Neodiprion lecontei: one gene and its partner. The protein of the gene in region 1 purifies or fractionates together with the protein of each later gene. This does not show direct contact. Links are inferred from orthologs where the notes say so. Each region holds a gene or a part of one and is shown in the gene's direction. Other genes may lie near its edges.

The links. Proteins that work in one complex are often made in the same cells at the same time.
Region 2: the proteins of AP-2 complex subunit mu (region 1) and AP-1 complex subunit gamma-1 purify together in Homo sapiens (affinity purification with mass spectrometry; 3 studies listed by BioGRID and IntAct, counting the BioPlex papers as one, with this or other methods). This does not show direct contact. The link is inferred for Neodiprion lecontei from reciprocal best matches to the Homo sapiens genes AP2M1 and AP1G1.

What each region holds. Positions count from the first base shown.
Region 1 is NC_060261.1:8,411,921-8,423,406, forward strand, and holds AP-2 complex subunit mu, read left to right. Parts: upstream 1-4,435; 5' UTR 4,436-4,575; exon of another isoform or gene 4,576-4,579; intron 4,580-5,186; exon of another isoform or gene 5,187-5,301; intron 5,302-5,403; 5' UTR 5,404-5,441; coding exon 5,442-5,781; intron 5,782-5,889; coding exon 5,890-6,140; intron 6,141-6,272; coding exon 6,273-6,529; intron 6,530-6,646; coding exon 6,647-7,127; 3' UTR 7,128-7,820; downstream 7,821-11,486. Other genes in the region: CTD nuclear envelope phosphatase 1 homolog, read left to right, coding at 64-281, 525-670; peroxisomal membrane protein PEX14, read right to left, coding at 2,338-2,509, 2,617-2,852, 3,089-3,415, 3,636-3,683; DCN1-like protein 3, read right to left, coding at 11,141-11,486.
Region 2 is NC_060264.1:28,341,627-28,352,247, reverse strand, and holds the start of AP-1 complex subunit gamma-1, read left to right. Parts: upstream 1-4,446; 5' UTR 4,447-4,516; coding exon 4,517-4,575; intron 4,576-6,343; exon of another isoform or gene 6,344-7,172; coding exon of another isoform or gene 7,173-7,174; intron 7,175-7,995; exon of another isoform or gene 7,996-8,111; coding exon of another isoform or gene 8,112-8,131; intron 8,132-9,071; coding exon 9,072-9,133; intron 9,134-9,904; coding exon of another isoform or gene 9,905-9,913; coding exon 9,914-10,097; intron 10,098-10,177; coding exon 10,178-10,324; intron 10,325-10,621. Other genes in the region: uncharacterized protein LOC107219157, read left to right, coding at 1-954; ADP-ribosylation factor-related protein 1, read left to right, coding at 2,300-2,392, 2,485-2,655, 3,077-3,158, 3,496-3,667, 3,758-3,857. UniProt on the Homo sapiens protein: Subunit of clathrin-associated adaptor protein complex 1 that plays a role in protein sorting in the late-Golgi/trans-Golgi network (TGN) and/or endosomes.

The sequences.
Region 1 (11,486 bases):
ATTTCGAAATTGTTGTTGGCACCGACAAATTGAAGTAATGTATATATGTTCAATATGATCCAGGTACGAGCTGGTAGTATTCACAGCTTCAATGGAAATTTATGGAGCAGCAGTTGCTGACAAACTAGACAACAACAGAGGGATTCTAAGACGGAGATATTATAGACAGCACTGCACTCCAGAAATGGGATCTTATACTAAAGATTTGGCTGCTATTTGCTCAGACTTAGCATCTGTTTTCATTTTAGACAATAGTCCTGGCGCCTACCGAGCTTATCCACGTAAGCTATAAATTTTTAGAATATTATTTATAGTGGTGTTTATTATACCTACTGAATTGCGAAAATGTTATAATCCGTTATCACTTTGGACGACATGCATTACTCCAGAACAATATTCTTTATAGAAATAAGTCTTTCTATTTTCAATTGGCTTTTTTTTTTGTAGCAGAGTCACTCTTGCATGGTTTATGCAATCCGCAGATTGTATACTTGATTAATCAATTTTTGACGTTTAAATTACAGATAATGCAATACCGATAAAGTCTTGGTTTAGTGATGCCGGCGACACAGCGCTACTCAGTTTACTTCCAGTGTTGGATGCCTTACGGTTTACACAGGACGTCCGCTCTGTACTCTCTAGAAACTTACATTTACATCATACATGGTAGCATAGCCCCTGCCAGTAAAACCCATAGAATAGATTAGAGTTCAAACCGCTAACAGTCTAGTGTGTCTAGGGTAGAATTATTATTAATAATTAATAATAGGAACGTTTAAGCGCTACCCATGAAATAAGATGACAAAGTTTTGCCTTAGACTCTCTCCACTTTCTGTGCTTATCAGTAGCGCCGATAGAAAGTGCACACAGCAAGCTACTGTTAGCCATCACCTACGTCAGCACAATAACTTATGTAGGGTATCATTTTTTTTCTGCTTTTATGTCATATTCGCCTTTCACCTTTGACACGTGAAAAATGAAAACAAAATATCAGGGTCTGTAAATGCACGATAAACCGTAATTTCTATTAGCTTTTTATTTTATTATCGTCATCATTACTAATCCTCTTTTCAATTCCACTCAGCAAACTGATATTTTTAGTAAATATTTTACGCCATTCGACGTATGTAGCAGGCAATGATGATCCGAATAATTATTCAAGTAACCATACTGCAATAACGAATTCTATTAGCTGCCCTAGAATAACTAGGAAATGTGTACTAGAAGATATCTAGCTGTACGCTCACTGTATCAGTGAGGCAGCGGTATGCCGATTATACCTGAAGTGATTATGAAGAATCAGACAAACAGTAATAATAAACATTATGAAGCAACAGAAATATCTTTCTTTGTTATAATTTTTTATTCAACTCATTAGGGTCGCCGTTGATTAATTATCGAATCGTAATTCGCTCGAACGATCCATGTACACGTAATTTAAAATTAACAGGACAAACATTGTATGTGGCATGGAAAAGAATTGATGAGAACATAGCTCTATATTTTGCCCGCTTATCTTCTAATAACCCTAAACATCATTATTATTGCATGGTTTGTACATATTAGAGCGCAAAGTGTGTATGTTAGTAAGGATGGCCGTGCATCTGTCGATTTGCGAATGTCGCGTGCGGTTGTGGTATACGTGAGATAATATTATAGTGATATACATGAGCTATAAATATACATATATATATACACGTGTATATATATATATCTACGTGGATAATATATATAGATTTATGATTATTAATTATATATTATTATTAATAATAAATTCTTGATCATAGTGACAAAATAACTGGGTATTTAAATAAGTCATATACAAACGTGTGCCGAATCGTATGTCGGCTGTTTTTCTTGAATAAACAACAATGATTCGATCTGTTTTTATTCGTATATTTGGCAATTTATCGTATGACTGAATTGTATGAGTAATATACTAACAATAAACCTGCGTAACAATGAAACACTTTTCTTATATGTACAAAACAATGATCGTACCAACATCCATAATAATGCGTGTAAAAAAGTCTACCATAATTGTAAAAGAATTGATGTAATGAAACATTGTATTTGAGACTCAGCAGTTGCCTCCTGATTAACAATTTTCATTCAATTGTTGGGGAAATTGAGAAATTATCTAAACTTGTTCCTTATAGAAAAAAAGATATTGATCTGAGTTTCAACAGCTTATTGTAGTGATCCGTACTCGTTAGCATAACTTATATTGGCTGTCCTTGTATCGATCGAAATTTATACACATTAGGATAACCACATGATTGGCATGTACAGCAAATCTACAAATGAAATAAAATCACAAGTTCGGTTAAGGCTGAATCAATTTTTTGGAGGATCTTCTCTTATCATCTCCAAAGAACTATCGGAGTTGTTGGTGCTGCTACCACTCCCTGCATCATCTAGATCTTCTCTATCGCCTGTTTTCTCTCTTACTGTCGACGTTGCTAGCTGCCAAGTTGGAATGGATGCCGGTACACTCGGAAATTGTTTCCTATTGGTAAAGAAAATGTAATTCCGATATTATTCACAACTTACGAACAAAACAAATTCAGACAAAACTAAATCACTATTTACTCTGCAAAATAGACATTGCTGTACCTTGATAGCAGTAGACCCTTGAGACTGGCTAAGTCCTGTTTCAAGTCTTGAACGAGCTGTGGTATGCTAGGATCGATGGAGTGGTTTTCCGTCAGTTTACTGACGTCTATCTCTACCTTGGAAATGGAGTCTTTCATTTCTCTCAATGAGGTTTTAATAGTTTTGTCTAAGTCCGTTACGGATTCTTCCACAGTTTTGCGACTCTTGCGTCCAAATAAATAAGGCTCTATGAATTTCTAAAATACAATTGAAAGTCAATTAGGATAATTCTTTTAAATAGTATAATGGATCTTGTAACTCGAAGAAATGACAAGGTTAAATTGTTGCAGGTTCATTTAATTGAAACAGAATTACTACCATTTCCATTTGAGCCTTTTAGGTAGAACCTTGGCAATTTTTATATCTTCAATAGAATCTCGAAACTAACATAGTACATATAATATTCTATGCAGCATAAGGAGCGGAATCTCACCTTGTAGAACCAATATATACAATAAGTTGCAGTTCCAAACAGAGCAACGGTATTTAGAATTTCTTTGACTCTTTGAAATGTTGTTTGACGATACGATTGTAGTTGGTAATTTGGGTAGCTGTGACCATGATTCATAGGAACAACTGTGAACTCTTTTTGATTAGGAGTAAACGAAACTTCTGTGACAATTTGGTCCCCCCCCGCGATTTCACATGCTTTAATAATTTCGTTTTCCGAGAGACCTTTTCTTCGGAGAAATTCCTGTTTCTGTTTTAAAGGACTCGGAACTACCTTGGGATTTTGTAAAAATTTTACAGCAGTCCTGACCTAGATTGAGATGAAAGAGAGAAGCAGCTAGTAATTTAGTTGTTAAAAATTTGAAGAACAGCTATAAAGCGAAGTGTTGGTGAATTTATAAAGGTAATCGAGTGGTGCTTGTGTGTTTTCATTAATTGAATAAATGTGTCGTCATCATGCTTAATTAAATTGTTTCGAATGTGAAATAAAATCCCGGATATTCTAACCTAAAGTAGCGAAAAGTACTTACGAGCTCATCCCGCAAAGATACGCTATTATTACTTTCCTCAATGGCCATCGCGTCGATTATAACTCACTTTTGCTAGCCGATAAACGTAGCTTCATACTCATGTAACAGATTCTAATAAGTATGTATTACGGTAATTAGATGTGATTTTTCGTTCACTGCAAAATGAACACAACAGAAAAAGTGCAGTCTATTCCACGCAAGCGCACGATTTATACTATTATCCACTGATACATAATAGTATGGGTATACGGATACATCAAAAATTCTTTGGTCAGTATGAGATTAACACGGTCAAGGTTAAAAACAATCCCGAAAATACAAGAAACTATAAACAAATCGCTGACTCTTTCAAATAATGAAATTATGATCGGTAAAGGCAATCGGAAATACTCGGCAAGAGATAGTCTCTCTTCTATGCTTCTAGATCTCCCGATATTACGCGCACCTTATCAGTTGTGAAATATTTTCATTTCCTTTGTTTACCAATGTTTTCCAAGCTAAAAACAAATAAATGAGCAATGTCGTAGATAAAGACGTGTTGAGATATCTTGTTTTCTTTCAGCCCAATACACTTATAATAGTAATTCCCATATAGGTATATCGTATTCAACGTTGACTTCAATCAAATCTCAAGTAACAAGATCAAATTAACTACTGTATTATTGTTGACAAATAATTAAGAAAGAGAAATACGATTGGTTTGTTCCGTGCTATTTAATCGATTGAATTTACGTCAGGTTGACAACATGGTACACTCATCGATTCGATTCAACCTGTTGGATCATTGAGCCGGTATGCCTACACGGTATCATCCAGTGACGATCACTGACAACCGTAGTAGGAAAAAGTGGGTGTCGCTGCCGCATTCGCAGTTCTGTGTGCCCGCTGAACAGCTGCACTTCAGCGTAATTTCTACGATTTTCTTGAGTCGTCTGAATGCGTAAGTAAGAAAGTGTCCATTATAATTCATTGCTTTGTTATATGGTTGATTCTCAATTGTTTCCTCGGCTAACACAACTCTACATCTCATCGAAAAATTAATCTGTTCTGAATTAAGCATCGTCCACTTGTCAATCGATAATACTAACGGTCCGAAGAACGTTCGCCCGTAGAGATGGATCTTGGATGTGTTGCATGACGTTTTGAACCATCATTAGATTGTCGGACGCTCGGTGGGCGTTTATCGGGTCATCAAGCGTCATTTTTAACCAGTTTCTACGTTAAATAAAGTCTTGGTCGTTTCATGACTGATTAAAAATATTATTTATCACAGATCCGAACGAGCTGTACGCGAATTTTCGGTTCTCACTTCCAACAATTCATTGATCGGTTTCCGTTTTCACTTCTCTACAACTATCCGAGCTCTTTGAACAAGTGCTCAACACCGAACTGCTACAAGCAACAGCATTAAATGTTGACCACGGTGTCAACGAATATTCTGTGACAAATACATAGGATAATTTATCGAAATCACAAGTAGGCTGCTTGCCTTTAGACAATTGACTACCCTGAGTGTGAGAAAAATGGTAATCGACCAGTTTCGGCACTGTGAAAATACCAAGTGCATGTCTCTATTAGAATGCATCTCAATTACTACTTAATGACTTTGGAAGGTCAAGAACTAGAGGGCCAAAATTGTGATTGTATTTATTCAAACGAATGCAAAGTAGGCTATCTAATTAGTATATTAAGTGTTGAATCATCATAAATTGTTGAATTATAAATTTTTACGTAACTCTGCCCTGATTAGTTATATATGAATTTACAGGTGCGTAACCAAAAAAGTAATTCACAGCCTCCGTCAAGATGATCGGGGGACTGTTTGTCTACAACCATAAGGGAGAGGTGTTGATCTCTCGAGTATATCGTGACGATATTGGCAGAAATGCAGTCGATGCATTCAGGGTCAATGTTATTCACGCTCGGCAGCAAGTACGATCGCCAGTTACCAATATTGCCAGGACGTCGTTCTTCCATATTAAACGAGCCAATATCTGGCTGGCTGCTGTTACCAAGCAAAATGTCAACGCTGCTATGGTCTTTGAGTTTTTATTGAAAATCATCGAAGTCATGCAGTCGTATTTTGGCAAAATATCTGAGGAAAACATTAAGAACAACTTTGTCCTGATTTACGAACTGCTTGATGGTAAAAAAAATTGCCTATTCCATCGTATGAGTTTCATCTTAAAATCATGCACAAAATGGTATTTGGTCATAATCATTGATTATGACTATTTTTCTATCGATTCTTTAGAAATTCTGGATTTTGGTTACCCACAAAACTGTGACACTGGGGTACTGAAAACCTTCATCACTCAGCAAGGCGTCAAGTCCGCCACAAAAGAAGAACAGGCTCAGATTACTTCCCAAGTTACAGGTCAAATCGGATGGCGACGAGAAGGAATAAAATATAGGCGCAATGAACTTTTCCTTGATGTTCTTGAATACGTCAATTTATTGATGAGCCCCCAGGGCCAGGTTCTCAGCGCTCATGTGGCTGGCAAGGTTAGCAAACATTCTTACCATCTTTTTTCAGATGCCTAAGGATTTAAAAACCGTTTTGATGTTTGACATTATTAGCATTGATGGAACTATTCAAATATGTTATTAATTTTAAAAGTTTTCTCTCCCAAACAGGTAGTGATGAAGTCCTACTTGTCAGGAATGCCAGAGTGTAAGTTCGGGATTAATGATAAAATAGTGATGGATGCAAAAGGAGTGAAAGGAGGAGGTGGTAGTTTAGGTAGCACGGGTGATGACCCTGGAGCTAGATCTGGCAAGCCTGTGGTGGTTATCGATGATTGCCAGTTCCATCAATGTGTCAAACTTTCCAAGTTTGAGACAGAACATTCCATCAGTTTCATCCCACCGGATGGTGAATTCGAATTAATGAGGTAATTGATGGGTTCCAGTAACGGTTCTTTTGGTAGCATCCAAACAATGAGTAAATACATAAACATCGAGTGATTTGAAAACTTGAAAAATAATTATGTAAAATATTGTTGTACCAGATATCGGACCACAAAAGATATATCACTGCCATTCCGCGTTATACCATTGGTACGTGAAGTCGGCCGCACGAAGATGGAAGTAAAGGCTGTCCTCAAGTCAAGTTTCAAATCCTCTTTACTTGGCCAAAAGATCGAGGTCCGTGTTCCGACGCCATTGAATACAGCTGGCGTACAACTGATATGTTTAAAGGGAAAGGCAAAATATAAGGCATCGGAAAATGCAATTGTATGGAAGATAAAGCGAATGGCTGGCATGAAAGAGACGCAGTTGTCTGCTGAAATTGATCTGTTAGAAACTGATACGAAGAAGAAGTGGACACGACCACCAATTTCCATGAACTTTGAGGTTCCATTTGCCCCTTCTGGATTCAAAGTTCGTTACTTGAAAGTATTTGAATCTAAACTGAATTATTCTGATCATGATGTTATTAAATGGGTCAGATACATTGGACGAAGTGGCCTATATGAAACACGATGCTAATCACCAACTTGTCGATGATAAAATACAAAAAAGTAATCTCACCTTTGAAGTGTAATGAACATAAATGTAATAAGGCTATAGCTGCGTTTTACACTTGGGACTTGCGGTATATAAACAAACTAAAAAGTTGCTGGTATTTATTCTCGTAAGTTCAAAGTTCAAACGTCCCTTGTAAGTATGGAAAGATCCAAAAAATTAATGATTTTAATCCGATTACATTATAAGGCGTAATTAATTATAGCAATGTCGCAGTCTTTCGGGGTATTCTCTAAGAATTCGCACAAAAGAAAAGGACAAAACATTCCGCCTAAACAGCCCTTAAAAATGTCAATGCCACCGTTCTGATCAAAATACAATACTTTTCCTATAACTGCTTATTTCAATCAGGGAGCATTTTTATGCGAGGCATAATTTACCGTCAACGATTAAAATAATGCTCCAATATATCGTGAAAATGTATTTAAAATGTGAACGATTTCTCTAGAGATGTGCCCGGCTGGTCCATGGTCACTTGAAGGCGTATGTCAAATGTAGCTTCTGTCTCTCTATATTATATCGATATATTATAGGTATATACATGTATGTATATATGTATCACAAACCGCATGATTAAACGTTAGTGCAGTGTTTAAGTTGATTTTCAGTTATACCCGAAATTATAAGAAAAATAAAGCATAACATTCAATACTTGAACATTACTGGTTTTATTAAAAAATTGAGTACACGAAGCGTTGATAGATTGTAAAAAGTAGTTTGACCGTATATTGAAAGACGATCTCTGTCACTGGTGACTAATCGATAGTTGACATAAATTGGACGAAATTCTTCTAGTCTTTTTACACAGTTGCAACTATCTCATTTTATCACCAAACCTCACGTGTTCAACATTTCTTGTTTTCACAATATTTTCGTGTTTTTATAGTACATATACATTTCCAAATAAGATAATTTAGCAAGCATTCCATTCCTAATAAATACAGCTAATAAAATTCCCTCAGAAATTCGGTCTATGATTTTCTAATTTTTGAGCTGCAACAAAATCTACTCAATACAGAACTCTTTAAAGTGCACGAAAGAAAATAAGTATGTGCTTCAGAATGGAAATTAAACCCTTTTACAGTGATCTATTGAATAATTATACTGTGCGTACTATTTCTTTTATCACGAACACCTCTATCAAATGTGAGTTAGAAATAATAATATCATTTAATGTAAATGATATATGACTTCTTCAGTTTTACGTTTGACAATCAAACTTAGTCAATCAAAATATGAATAAAAGAATTCAATTCAGCTATTGATAATAACACATAATAAAGTACACTTGCATACTTATTTAATGATTCACAGTGATAGAGATTGGCTTTTGAATTGAAAAAAAATGACTTGTGTGCAACTCATTTGAAAGGTTTGTACCTTTGAGATCCTATACGAATTTAAATGGCAAATAAGCCATCTACTTTTCAGGCTGATATTCTCGTAAAACACTTCAACTACCAAGTAACTAAAATCCAGTGATTATTTTTGGATAATGCATATTACATTACGTAAACTATTATCACTTGCAAAATTTCGAGTGATTTTCACGATAAGAAATGTCACACTAGAAGTCGATTGAATCCGTTATGTTACAGTTATTGAAACTGACTAAATGCGTAGCTAGATTTTATGTGAATACAATGATTTAAAGTACAAGTTAACGTACCTGCTAACGTTTCAACGAACATGTCGTTATCATAGCAGTGAAACATTTTATTGGAATGCAGGCTTAAAATGATTTCGGTTAGAACGCTTGAAATGAAATCTATATGAATCGTTATAGTTAGTGACTAATCTGTCTGAATGAGAGATTATGATGAATTAGTAACTGATAGTAGCAGTTTATATACAAAAGTTTATAAATAGATATACATATACATTAATTGTAAGCACACGTCTCGTTACTTATTATAATTTTTCTACATTAATTAATTTTATTTCAATCTTTTATCTGGTTGGCACTTTCCGTAAACTGAGTACATTAGATTACTGCTGTGATTTTTTGACCAGTTCAGTTATCCAATTCTGAATAAACAGAGCCACGCTAAAAATAAACCAAATATTCACTATGCCGAGATATATATTCATTGCAATTTTCAGTATATGCTCATTTAGAAGGCCACAAATGTTAGTACAGCAAATTGATTTTTCGATTAGAATTTTTGTAATTTTGAAAAGTTGATTTCAAAGTGTTTTATAAAAATACAGTCCTTCCGGGGCAAAGGAAACATTTTCGAAAAATAACTATCATTTGTCGAAACTATTCCTTTCCATAAAAACCATGATATAGTATTGTATATGTTCATGACATTTTGTTGATGGTTATGAATATCTTTTTCGCCAAAGTAATTCTTTGTTGTCAAGAGGAATTATATAGAAATTATGTTAAGTGAACTGTCACTGATTTCTGGTAAATGACGATGATGAACTTTTTAACACTGTATACAATAATTGGAATATTGATCGTTCTAATTGAGGTTCTGGTAAATAATATAACCTACAGTCCAAAGAACTGTAATTCACGAGTACTTCACACAAGGTGATGAAAATGAAGTATATCGACATAACTGGTAATTGGATTTGTGCAAAGGTTTTACGATATCTGTTCCAAAGCCTAATGCAATTTTGTTTTTAGTAGATTGTCAAAATGCATTTGAATGTTACATACTCATCAAGTTGTAACAAAGAAAACCGCTGAAATTAATCCTACACCATAACTGACCGGATTATTCAGGCAACTGATTTATATTTTACCAAGCTATTATACAGGATGACTCAGTACTATCGCCCCACAGACTACCAATGTATTCTTTGGGAAAATCTGTGATTTTTCGTTTTTCATTTCTTATAGGAAATTTGTTGTTTGCAAATTACAGCCGTGTGAAATTGGCTATTCCAGTAGCATCTGATGGCTTAGAACTGAAAGAGAACGCGACTAGCAGATCATCTGCTGTTCTGAGTCCTCAGATGCTACCAGATTGGCCAATTTCAAACGGCTATAAAATCGGAAACGGCAAATTTTCGATCAAAAGTAAAAAACGTTTCAGTCGCGGATGTTCAGGAGGACCATATTGGTAGCCTATAAGGCGATCGTCCTGGGTTACCCTGTGTATGACTTACAAGCCAATTTAAGGAGGAAATCAACAACCATGCCACTGCGAATTTCTATTTACAATTTATATAGATAAAATAGTTAAAATGGTATTCTGAGAAAATAAGCACGCAGGAATGGCTAAGGAAAAAGTTTCAACTGGGTTAAAAAAAATTTGACGAAGTTTAAGAATAAACTGAATGAAATACTTTGTCTTCATTACTTAGCCACTAAAAAAATTGTCACCTCTGCATTATTCGCATATAATTAACTATATATATGATCGTTATTTCTATAGAATTAAATACATACATCAATGAATATGTACTCGATTGGCTAGTCTTGCGAGTCCTTGTATATAAAATACGTTGCGTTACTAGTTCGTTTGTTTCGTTACCTAAATTTTACTTAAATATCTAAAAGACAAATATTATCAGTAATGTATGTATCACAAGTTGGGACCGTAATACTAATTTCGATATAACATATTATGTGCTAAGTCCCGCGTGTTAAAACGATCGTTTCAAATGACTGTTGAACAGTTCTGAACAGGATTTTCCCTGAAATCTTTCTGAACATATCATTAAACTACGGAAAATATTTCTTCCCATCGCTAATCTATACCTGAAAATTCCGCACAGGCTCAAATAAACTTGATTCTGATAAAAACATTTTGGTCAATAATTTAGTATTAACTTTACAGAAGTCCAATTCGATACTAGTTTTCTTTTCTCTCCTTTTTGATGGCAGCTTACTTAAGTCGTGGGAATATCCTGCTTGAAAGTTTTATATATATATATATATATATATATATATATATATATATATATATATATAAAATTGCATCTTCTCAATTTCTTATTATTTCGCAATATCACTACATCTACTCCTTATCAACATTATCTTTCATTATAATATCATCCTTGGTAATGTTCTGGTTCATCTGATCATTTTCGTACTCCACAAAATCATCAATCAAACTTGGCCAAGCTTCAGTATCGTCGTAAGCACTGAGATCATCGCCAATACTTTCGGCAAAATTAAGAAACATATTCCAGGTATCTCTTGGAATACCTCGTACATGTTGGTGACATTCGAGAAACTTCAACCACCTAACGAGCAGTGGTGGTTCACGAATAGTGAACACAAGCCTCCACAAAACGAGTGCCATGTCAGCTGGTAAAATTCTCTGGCCGGATCCAACATCCAAGCCAAATCTGAACGTGAAT
Region 2 (10,621 bases), on another chromosome or scaffold:
GTTGGAGTGCAAGGGTCTTTCCGATTCCGTAGATCGCCGGAACCACAGCCGGAACCTCAAGGATCTGTGAGCGTTACAGCGCAAAAGAATCTCAGTGGTCCAGAACGCCGACCTTCTTACAACGTCGACTACCAGCACAAGCTTTTTGAGAATAAACATGGTTCGATCAGCGCGACAGGCGGAGCTCAGAAGTACCCAGGTCAAAGGTGGGAACCGACTGTCGGACTACAAGGATCCTTCCGATTCCGTAGATCGCCGGAACCACAGCCGGAACCTCAAGGATCTGTGAGCGTTACAGCGCAAAAGAATCTCAGTGGTCCAGAACGCCGACCTTCTTACAACGTCGATTACCAGCACAAGCTTTTTGAGAATAAGCATGGTTCGATCAGCGCCACAGCAGGAGCTCAGAAGAATCCAGGACAGAGAGTGCAACCTACTGTTGGAGTGCAAGGGTCTTTCCGATTCCGTAGATCGCCGGAACCACAGCCGGAACCTCAAGGATCTGTGAGCGTTACAGCGCAAAAGAATCTCAGTGGTCCAGAACGCCGACCTTCTTACAACGTCGACTACCAGCACAAGCTTTTTGAGAATAAACATGGTTCGATCAGCGCGACAGGCGGAGCTCAGAAGTACCCGGGCCAAAGGTGGGAACCAACTGTTGGAGTACAAGGGTCTTTCCGATTCCGTAGATCGCCGGAACCACAGCCGGAACCCCAAGGATCCGTACGTGCCACTTGGCAGAAGAATCTCAGTGGTCCAGAACGCCGACCTTCTTACAACGTCGATTACCAGCACAAGCTTTTTGAGAATAAACATGGTTCGATCAGCGCGACAGGCGGAGCTCAGAAGTACCCGGGCCAAAGGTGGGAACCAACTGTTGGAATACAAGGATCATTCCGGTTCCGGAGAGCAGCGGAGTCAGAATCCGAAGAAAAGATCGTTCAACAAAATTAAAATTGAGTCGTTTATGTCTAATTGACTTATACTTGTCTTATGTATATTTGCCACTTTACCACCAAATTTCATTCAAATTACCTAATATATGTTTGAATAAATAATACTTGATTTCTTCTCTATAAAATAACCTTTTATATCATTTTAATATCAACAGTATTACCACCCTACTGTAAATGTTCATTTGTTAAATCATAAAGTGTTTTGAAAGAATTCAGCATGTAATTTATTACATGATTCATCTTCTAAATTCGATAAAATGTATGAGAAATCACGTAATGAAAAACAAAAGCACGAATTATCAGATATACTGGATCAAATATCATATAGTCATCTATACAGAGCAAGCAAAATCATATAGTCAACTGTTACGTGATTTCTTGGACACCATCCTATAGGACATCAGCGTTATTGGACAGCAAAAATAATCGGAAGCTATATGGAGCGCTAGATTAATTGGACACTGACTGATTCGACATAGCGATTTATTGGACAGAGCCCTTGTCTTTTGTTACTTTCCTGATTGCGGATCTGCGGATGTATGGAGTAGTTACGATGACATGACGTGACAAGACGCGTTCGTGGAATTTGATCTATTCGATAGGTACATCGAAAAGTGAATCAGGACCAACTGCAAATACAATGCCAGTGCTAATCCTATTGGCGGCTGTATAAATGCGATAAGGTGCGCAACTATATTGTAAGTGTTGATTTGTGTAAAGCGAGCGCCCGGTTAGAGCATTCAGGCTCTCACTTGCTGCGACGTATGTTGGGTTGCCTTTCCAAGGCGCGTTAAACGCATCGCAAGATTGACAGAATTAACGACAATAAAATAAACAAAAAAACTATTTGAAAATAGTGAACAGTGGTTGAAGACGAATTTAGAATACATTATTGAATTATGTCACTAACGAACAGTGTATTCCGACGGAAAATTTGAAAATGATTAACCTTATCGTCGCGGCGTCGCCTGGAACGGCGGTAATTTTTTTCGTTTCGTTAGTAATTATCTTCGACTGCCATAGTTTTAGCACAGATATAACATTCATAGGACATTCTATTTCAGTGTACGATAGTTACCGTGTATCATGTTTCTTATGTCCTATAACTCCGCAATCTGGTAAGTAAAATTTGCGTCCCGAATATATCATCGGTCGTTCGGTATTCCACAATACCGACGGGATGTTACACGTATTTCCAGATACATCAAGTTGTTACCGATAATGTCGAGTTCGTGCAATACCGACTTACAAATCGTCGTCATTGACAAATACCCAACCACTTGGCTCATATTGAATTTACTATGACACGGAAGTAAACTTGTCAAAGAGTGAACAATATTGAAATGTATACATTATTAAACGGTCTTTATAAGTACCTCATGCAAAAAGACGAATATTACGTACTGATACTGGGCTTAGACAATGCAGGGAAGACGGTAAGAGTATCATTACACATTGTTGTCTTAGGTTATGTTCTGTACGAAGAGACATTGTGAGTTTTCTAAACGCTAGTTTAACTATTTCACAGACTTACTTAGAGGCAGCTAAAACGAAGTTCACGAAAAACTACAAAGGCATGAATCCCAGCAAAATTACTACAACAGTCGGCCTTAATATTGGAAAAATTGATCACGCGGGCGTGCGGTTAAACTTCTGGGATCTCGGAGGACAGGAGGAACTTCAGTCTCTCTGGGATAAGGTTTTATGTCGAACCTGATTTCATCTTTCACTCACTTCAGTCGACCTAGAATATCTCACATTTTTTGTAAAAAAATCCCAAGTCATAATTCTTATTTCAAATTTTATAAACCAAGATTCGCTTGACAATCTGACGTTCATTATACAACAATGGCAATATTCTGTTTAACCTTAGAGGGCTGGCATTTTTCCCTTGAAATTGGATATTTTTTTAGAGGTATGATTTATGTATGTAAATAGTCAACGCGCATGGTGGAGTTTCCGAATTATCTGCTGACCCCTAAAAGAGCCAGGCTGGCCCTTTAAAGGTTACTAAGGCGAGCCTGAAGCCTGATCACAATCATTCATCTCATTATAAATAAAGTTAAATCATTTGCAATGAAAACGCTATTACATTTTGTAAAACATAACATATTTTGCAGTATTACGCAGAGTCGCACGCAGTCATTTACATTGTTGATTCTTCGGACAGAGACAGAATACCAGATTCCAAAGAGACTTTTGGTAAGACAGTACCATTGGCCTAAGTGCAGGATGTTCTATTGTTACATCAACCTGTCAATGTGCATTTTACTTTTCGAAATCCAACAATAGTCTTAAAATAAAGTTTTGCAGTGCGAGTTTAAAAGTATCTTGAGCTACCTAAAACACATGTATTACTTGAAGGGTGCCTCAAGATCCTCAGAAAGTAGTAAATTTGTCTAAAACGCTTCTAGTTTTACCATGGTCGAAATTATCGATTTCTTTAGAACAAAAAATATGCTTATTCAAAGTATGTTCGCATGGAACAGCCTGACAAATTTCAAAGATGAATAAGTGTGCTTATAACAGATTTATGTAGACAGGATGATATCTTCGGAGCATTTGATGGGAGTACCTCTGCTGGTTCTCGCTAATAAACAAGATATACCAGACTGTATGGGAGTCAGAGATGTGAAGCCGATTTTCAATCAGAATGCCCATCTCATTGGAAGGAGAGATTGCATGGTGATGCCGGTTTCCGCGCTAAATGGGTAAAAAGAATAATTTCGCAGGGGTTACTCAGGGATAAACTCATTGAATTTGATCGCTCAAAACGGCCTAATAATTGTTGTTATTTATAGCGACGGTGTAGACGAAGGAATTCACTGGCTGGTCGATTGCATCAAAAGAAATAACGACATCCGTCCGCCTCGTAATCAGGACGATAATTGTCTGTCGTAGCAAATACATTCCTGTCTTCAATAACGGTAAAACATAAGTTAAATTTTAAGAATAGATATTTTGTACATTTTCCAATGCGACAATTCGTTGTTAATATTATTATTAATATTTTTATTATTATTTATATAAATAAATTATTTTTATTTCAATATTAATCGTATTTCTGAACTATTACGGTAATAAAAGGAAATACATTCCACTGTATCGATAATCTTCGAGGAGAAATATCGATTGATCAATATTTGTAAGACAGGTGAAATAATAACGATAATATTAGCAGAACAATATCGAAGTCACTGATATTGTGTAAAATCTGTATCCGTAAATATCCTCAAATTAATCACGATTAATTATTCTTCGCGGCCAACCGGTAAATGTGTTTTTAATGCAATGAAAAAGCGTCAGAAAATAGATAGTAAAATTGAATCTGATGGTTGATTAGAATGGTAGCTCTTGCTCAGTGTCAGCTGATAGCGGAGTCACAGAGTGAGATAAGAGATAAAGGCAACACCTCACACCTTCTGGCGCTCTATAATGCTAGTGATAAATATCGTTCGCCATACTAGCTGCTAGCCACCATAGCACATGATATACCGCCAATGAATTAACGGTGCTTCGTTTAAATTGCAAAATCCTACTGTTTGGTGAGATTACGCATCATGTGGCCCTATTATGAGACCGAAGATTGGAGTGTTCTCCCGCCCGAGCTGAACAGAAGGTAATCTTAACTACATATAACAGCTTAACATTGTATGCGACCTCTAAAAGCTCCTTATTTCGCTATTCACTCCATTACCGATTTTCTATTCCTAAAATATCCGTAAATGAAGTAGAATAATGTAAATTCAAAACTGTCCGTTCTTATAGTTGATTCGATAGGTGATGGTCCATAATTTATTTTCGAAGGTTTAAGACGCGTTTCTTTTTTGGTTCTTTTTTTCATTCTTTTTTCACAATTGTTGGTAACGAAAAAACGAAGTGGGTATACAGTATAAGATTACATCAGCTGCAGATAGTATTTAGTGAAAAATGTACGGTGCATCATGCATAATGCAGTGATCGAATTAATATATTCTTGTGTAAAATATTATCGGCGCGGTGATAAGCGTCCACGTTGCAGATTTAAGTTGCTGCCGGTCGCAAATTCACAGTGTTGATAAGCCTGTGGTGTGAAGCTGTTATTTGCGAGTATAATTACGATCGGCAAATACGCATTTTTTATGTACATATATATATATGTATGTACAATATATGTCGTTCGTATAAATTACATTGTATGCACACATACGGAGATGTGCTTGTGTAATATGTATCTCGTTATAACTCGGGTAGGGAAAATTTCAAACGAGTTATAGTATTGTAACGTGACGCGAACCCGCAATCAGGTAAGCCGATATGGGGAGAAGGGAAAAAAATTCAGGGAGGAGAAAAAAAGAAGCAATGATAAAATACACGCGTCGAGATAAATGGGAGAGAAGTATGAATGCAAAGGTGTGACGCGTCTGCATGAATCACAGATGCTCGATACATCCAATCGTTGGTGATACGGTACAAGATAACGAAAAATATCGCGTATTGATGAAGCTGATTGACGAAATGAAATATGCAAAACATGCATTGCGATGCAATGTACCAACTTACAGTCTAGTTTTTACTTGTACGAACATATTGATGGTCGGTTCGAAGCGTGATCGGTTTTTAATAGTTTCTACGATCGTTTCGTTAGAGATACCATTGTGCACAATTAGTACATGCAATTACCCGGGGAGCAAAATTTATTAACAAAACTACAGGAATTCATTAAGTGATCTTTTCAGTTTTTTCATATCCTTCAAACGACAACCGCATATAGGTATGAAATACCAGAGCAAGTCAACTACGTTGTGCAATGACACCTTTATTACCCTCCAGCGATGTATCAAGGGTCGAATGATAGGGTATATTTATTAAAAAAATGCAGTATCAAGTGAAGCGTGTCGCTTTAATAACGGTGCGAACGTATAACCTGTAAAGCATGTGCCCAATTTTGTTAAATAAGCGATGTACCGCCGACCGCCAACGTCAATTGAGGCCGTCCCGCCATCTTAGTTTTGGTGTATGCAGTGTTGCCAGATGACTGTTGCAGAAACCTCCTAGGGTAACTTTGAAATTCTCCTAGAATCTCCTAACCCACAAAGAAAATCTTCCCAAATTTCCTCCTAAAATTTTTAAAGGACAGAATGACCTTGAATCAAGTTTGCACGATATCATGCATATAATTGACACGTAGAAATAATATTCACCTTTCACAATAAGCTGTTCCTATAATATCTGAAATTCAGCTTAGACCCTACCAGCAATTCTGGAATTTGCTTTACCGATAGAATCTCATCCCCCACGCAAGTGGTCGCCTTTCGCTCACCGTACTTGTCGCATAGAAAAATAACAAATAAAGTCAGTAAAAATTGTAACAGTCGACGAGCGAAGCATAAATCTGAAAATTCTTGAAATTCGTCCTGAAAAAACTCCTAGATATTTTTTCTCCGGAAGCTTCCAATTCCTCATAAATTTAGTAGGAATTCTGCTAATCTGGCAACACTGCACGTATGGCTGACGGCGGAGATTAGTTCGTTGGTTTAGTGTAGATTGGTGAATTGCAGACAAGCGAGTGTTTTGTCGTACGTTCGGGGTGGGTCGGCGGCGTAATTTAACATATGCGCGATTAATAATGATCGCCTTGATGCGCCGATAATCGATTCGTGATAAATACCCCTGTTCCACTATTGTTTGCCATTTTTTTCTTTTCGTCAAATTTTCTCTTTCCTTTATCGTCCCTTTCTTTCCTCCTCTAATGATTTAAAACAACACACCACCCTTCGCCCACAACAATACGATTCTGGTCTCGAACTCTGTGGTAGGCGGTAGGTATCAACGTTAGAAAACCTCGATTGAATACATTATCCAGTGATCAAAGTTGACTAGTGAGCTGGAAAGTGGAACAGAGTTTCGGCAGGGCAGGTGCGGCATTGTTCGACGAGTGGTTCACTAAACTCGCGTTTGTACCTACTCGCAGTTCCAATTCCAAGTTATACACGGCTCGAGAATCGAGAGGAGTTGCCGATCAGTGCCTTTCCGTCCTCCCGTGTTTCTCTTTGAGTGGTGTGTCTTTCATTCGGATCCGTGCATCGGTTTGTTCCTGTCTTTTTTCTCACCTAAAAATCTCATTCGTCAGGTGAAGTTAGGTGACACGGTGGCGATTGACACGTTTCCGTCGTTTGACACCACCGTGTGCATCTGGACAAAAACTCTTCTCACCTGCCTGCTTATAACTGCCGTATGTATGTATTTTACATGCTCAACCTCGCTTTTCAACGATCTTGTACACCTGCAACCTTCGGTTTCGCCCGATTCTTTTTCCACCGTAGTTTATTCGATGTGATTTACCAATTCTACGCACACATTTGACAGCTTACCAAAAGCTAACCTTCGCATCTAACGCCCACTACTCTTTACATACCACACTCGCATTATTCAGCATCGATTAGCGTCAAAGTTAGTCAATTCTTTTCTTCTATTATCTTTCACTCTTCTCGGCGGTATCTTTTTTTTTTATTTTTTCATTTTTTTTTCCTACAATACAAGATTAGTTTCATACAGTTTGAGTTTGTTTTTAGCCACTCTTATTTTCCGACATTTTACACCTGCAAATCATAAAACATAGTAAACTCGAGTAACTCATCAGCATCTTACATTAAACATAATTTTCAAGCCTTTCAAAACATTGCCAATTTCTTGCGTAGAATGAAAAATCTAAAACTGACAAGTATTTACTGTAAACAAATAATATTATGTTGACAGAAATGGCAGTGTAAATCGTGTGATATATTTGTCGGGAAATTAATCTTGGAAGATGCGAATGTTTCTGTTATGTAATACAGACACGTACGCATATAAACTCACACAAATGTATGTCGACTCTGTTTATTGTTATAGAGACATGTGAATAGGTACATACAAAGCTTGCGTTTAACGTATAATTAGGATTGTAACCCCCATGCCCTGTCCCTGAGTTTGATATCAAAAGGAATAACGCCGATGTAACCATAAAAAAAACAAATACGATATGTCTAACAGGAGCATAGCGGCGATACAAAGGAGTAAAGAGTGTGTGTGTCGAGTGGTTAACAGCCTGCTGCAGTAATCCAGTTTGTTGCTATAGCTGCCAGCCGAAAACAAAAAAAAAAACACAAAATTTCTAAACGGTGTTGAGAAATCATGAATGCCTCAGAACATGGGTAATTTTATTTATTTTTTTGTTCATTTCAGTATTTCGTTCCGTACAAATGTTTGTTTGATTCGAATTTTATTGTATTCAGCCCTTGCGTACAGTCCTTCCTTTAATCTCTGTTGAAAAATTTTTAACATAGTCTGTAATAAGACTACTACTATTTTCTTATTGAAATAACGTATATTTACTGTCTAAAAGTTTTTTCAATGGTATAAAATAAGTAGAGCAAATTATATGCCAATTTATTTTTACAATAGTCAACATTTTTCTATCTTTAATTGATTTTATTTATTTCAAAAGTTTTGGAAAGAGTAGATTTCTTTTCAAATTTGTTGGTTGATTTGAAAATGATTCTTTTAATTTTCTTCTTGTGTTTTTTTTGTTGTTCTTAATCCTATTGTATTCAATTCGGACACTTTTCTGCACTCGATTGCAAAAAGAGAGTTCTACGGATAATTACTGAAATAAATTTTTCGGAAGAAGCTGTGACTTTATTTTATTGATCTTGTTTATAATTGCAAAAATTTGTTACAGTCGACATATTTTTTGAATTTCAAGAACAATTGAACCATTCTTCTATAAGAGAATCTAAAAATAGAGAGCAGTGGGGATTAAATAGGACAACCTGAATACGTTATCATATTATTATAACAGATGAAATACTGTGTTATAGATAAAATCTCGACTCGTTGACATTGATTTTAAACTTAGATAATTTATCTAACAATCGATTATTTCTTATCACTACTTGGAGGTTTTCATTTTGCATCGGATTGTTATCTTCCTTTTCCAATTCCTCAAATTAAAAAAAAACTGTGTCAAGTTCTAATGCGATCAAAAAACGATTGGGTACTAAAGGTGTCAATGCATGTAGATAGATATTACTAAGTTGAACTAAAAGACATTTATGGTGTGCTTTCTAAACCAGCATGGTGTGACTTTTTCAGGTTTAACCCAGCCTTCAATATGGCCTCCATAAAGCAGGCTATCAACGAGGCTGTTGAGCGAGGTGGGTATCCCGGATTGTGCGATTGATCATCCTTCCCTAGCTTTTTACACACGTCCCCAGGTTGCAATTAGAATAGAGAAAAAAGCAAAAGAACCTAAAGATGAGCTTCGGCGTCACACTCGCTAACTAGATTTATAATTCCCATCAATTTCTTTTACATCTGCGTAATGTATGATCTATTTTCTCTTCCTCGATGTCATCAGCTTCTGTACTATGCGCTTATATTTATAGTGACTGTGAAATTGGAATTCAGAGTGTGGTATTTGATTTTTTATATCCTGCTTATTCTGAGCTTACAGAGAACTTCTTTCAAGCTTTTTCAGTCCGTTCAATCTTTGCTTCGGTTTGTAGCTCTTTTACAAATTTTAAAGTGCCAGAGGATTTCTTTTGGTAAATCGAATGCAGAGCTTTGTCAAGGCTTGTACCAGATATTTTCAATGAAATATGCAGGTATTTTCTTTTCGAAAAATGATTCATCCTTTAAATCTTCAATTACTGCCACACGCCTGATTCATTCAGGCTTTTGTAGCTCTGGAACTTGGCAAAGCTCTGAATAAAGTCAACGATCGTTTCAGAAGTTTATGACACTTATTCGCACAGTCCTATAGTCGCCACTATTTTAAAATTGAATATATCGCACAGATTTTATGTGTCCAATCACGTCCCTGTAATGCAGCGATTAGTTCGTCCAGTGCAGTGCTTAGCTTTTTACACTAACGCACCGCCGCCCAGCTAACACAGTGCACTGATAACATAATGTTAATTTAAAAGTTTCGACAGTGAGAATGCCAGCTCCTACACGCCTCCGCGATTTGATCAGACAAATACGAGCGGCAAGAACTGCCGCTGAAGAACGTACAGTCGTCAACAAAGAATGCGCATACATTCGATCGACGTTCAGGGAGGAGGACAGCGTCTGGAGGTGTCGCAACATTGCTAAACTGCTTTACATTCACATGTTGGGGTCTGTAAAAATTTATTCTTCGTTATAAGAAAATCGGAATAACTTCTGAAGCTGAAAATTTGCTTCAATCAAATTCACAGATATCCGGCGCATTTTGGACAGCTCGAATGTTTGAAGCTGATAGCGTCGCCGAGGTTTACAGACAAAAGAATCGGCTATCTTGGGGCTATGCTGCTGCTCGACGAGCGACAAGATGTTCACCTTTTGATTACCAACTGTCTGAAAAAGCAAGTATAAGAAGTGATCATTACGGCAGAAAATATATTTTACCAGATTTTGATTGTGCGTTGAGAGGATGAAATATCATTCTCTCAACTCTTGAATGAGTTTTTATTTATAACATTCGTCTTTTTCTTTCTCTCATTATTGAGGAAGCTGCATTTCATTCTATAAACATCATAGAACTTGTTGCTTCAATAGCAAACTTGAAATGAAAACCAGAATCTAACAAACACCTGTCGCACCTGAGCAATACAACATTTTTCACTCTCTTAGCATTACGAGATGCGAACGATGAAAATAAT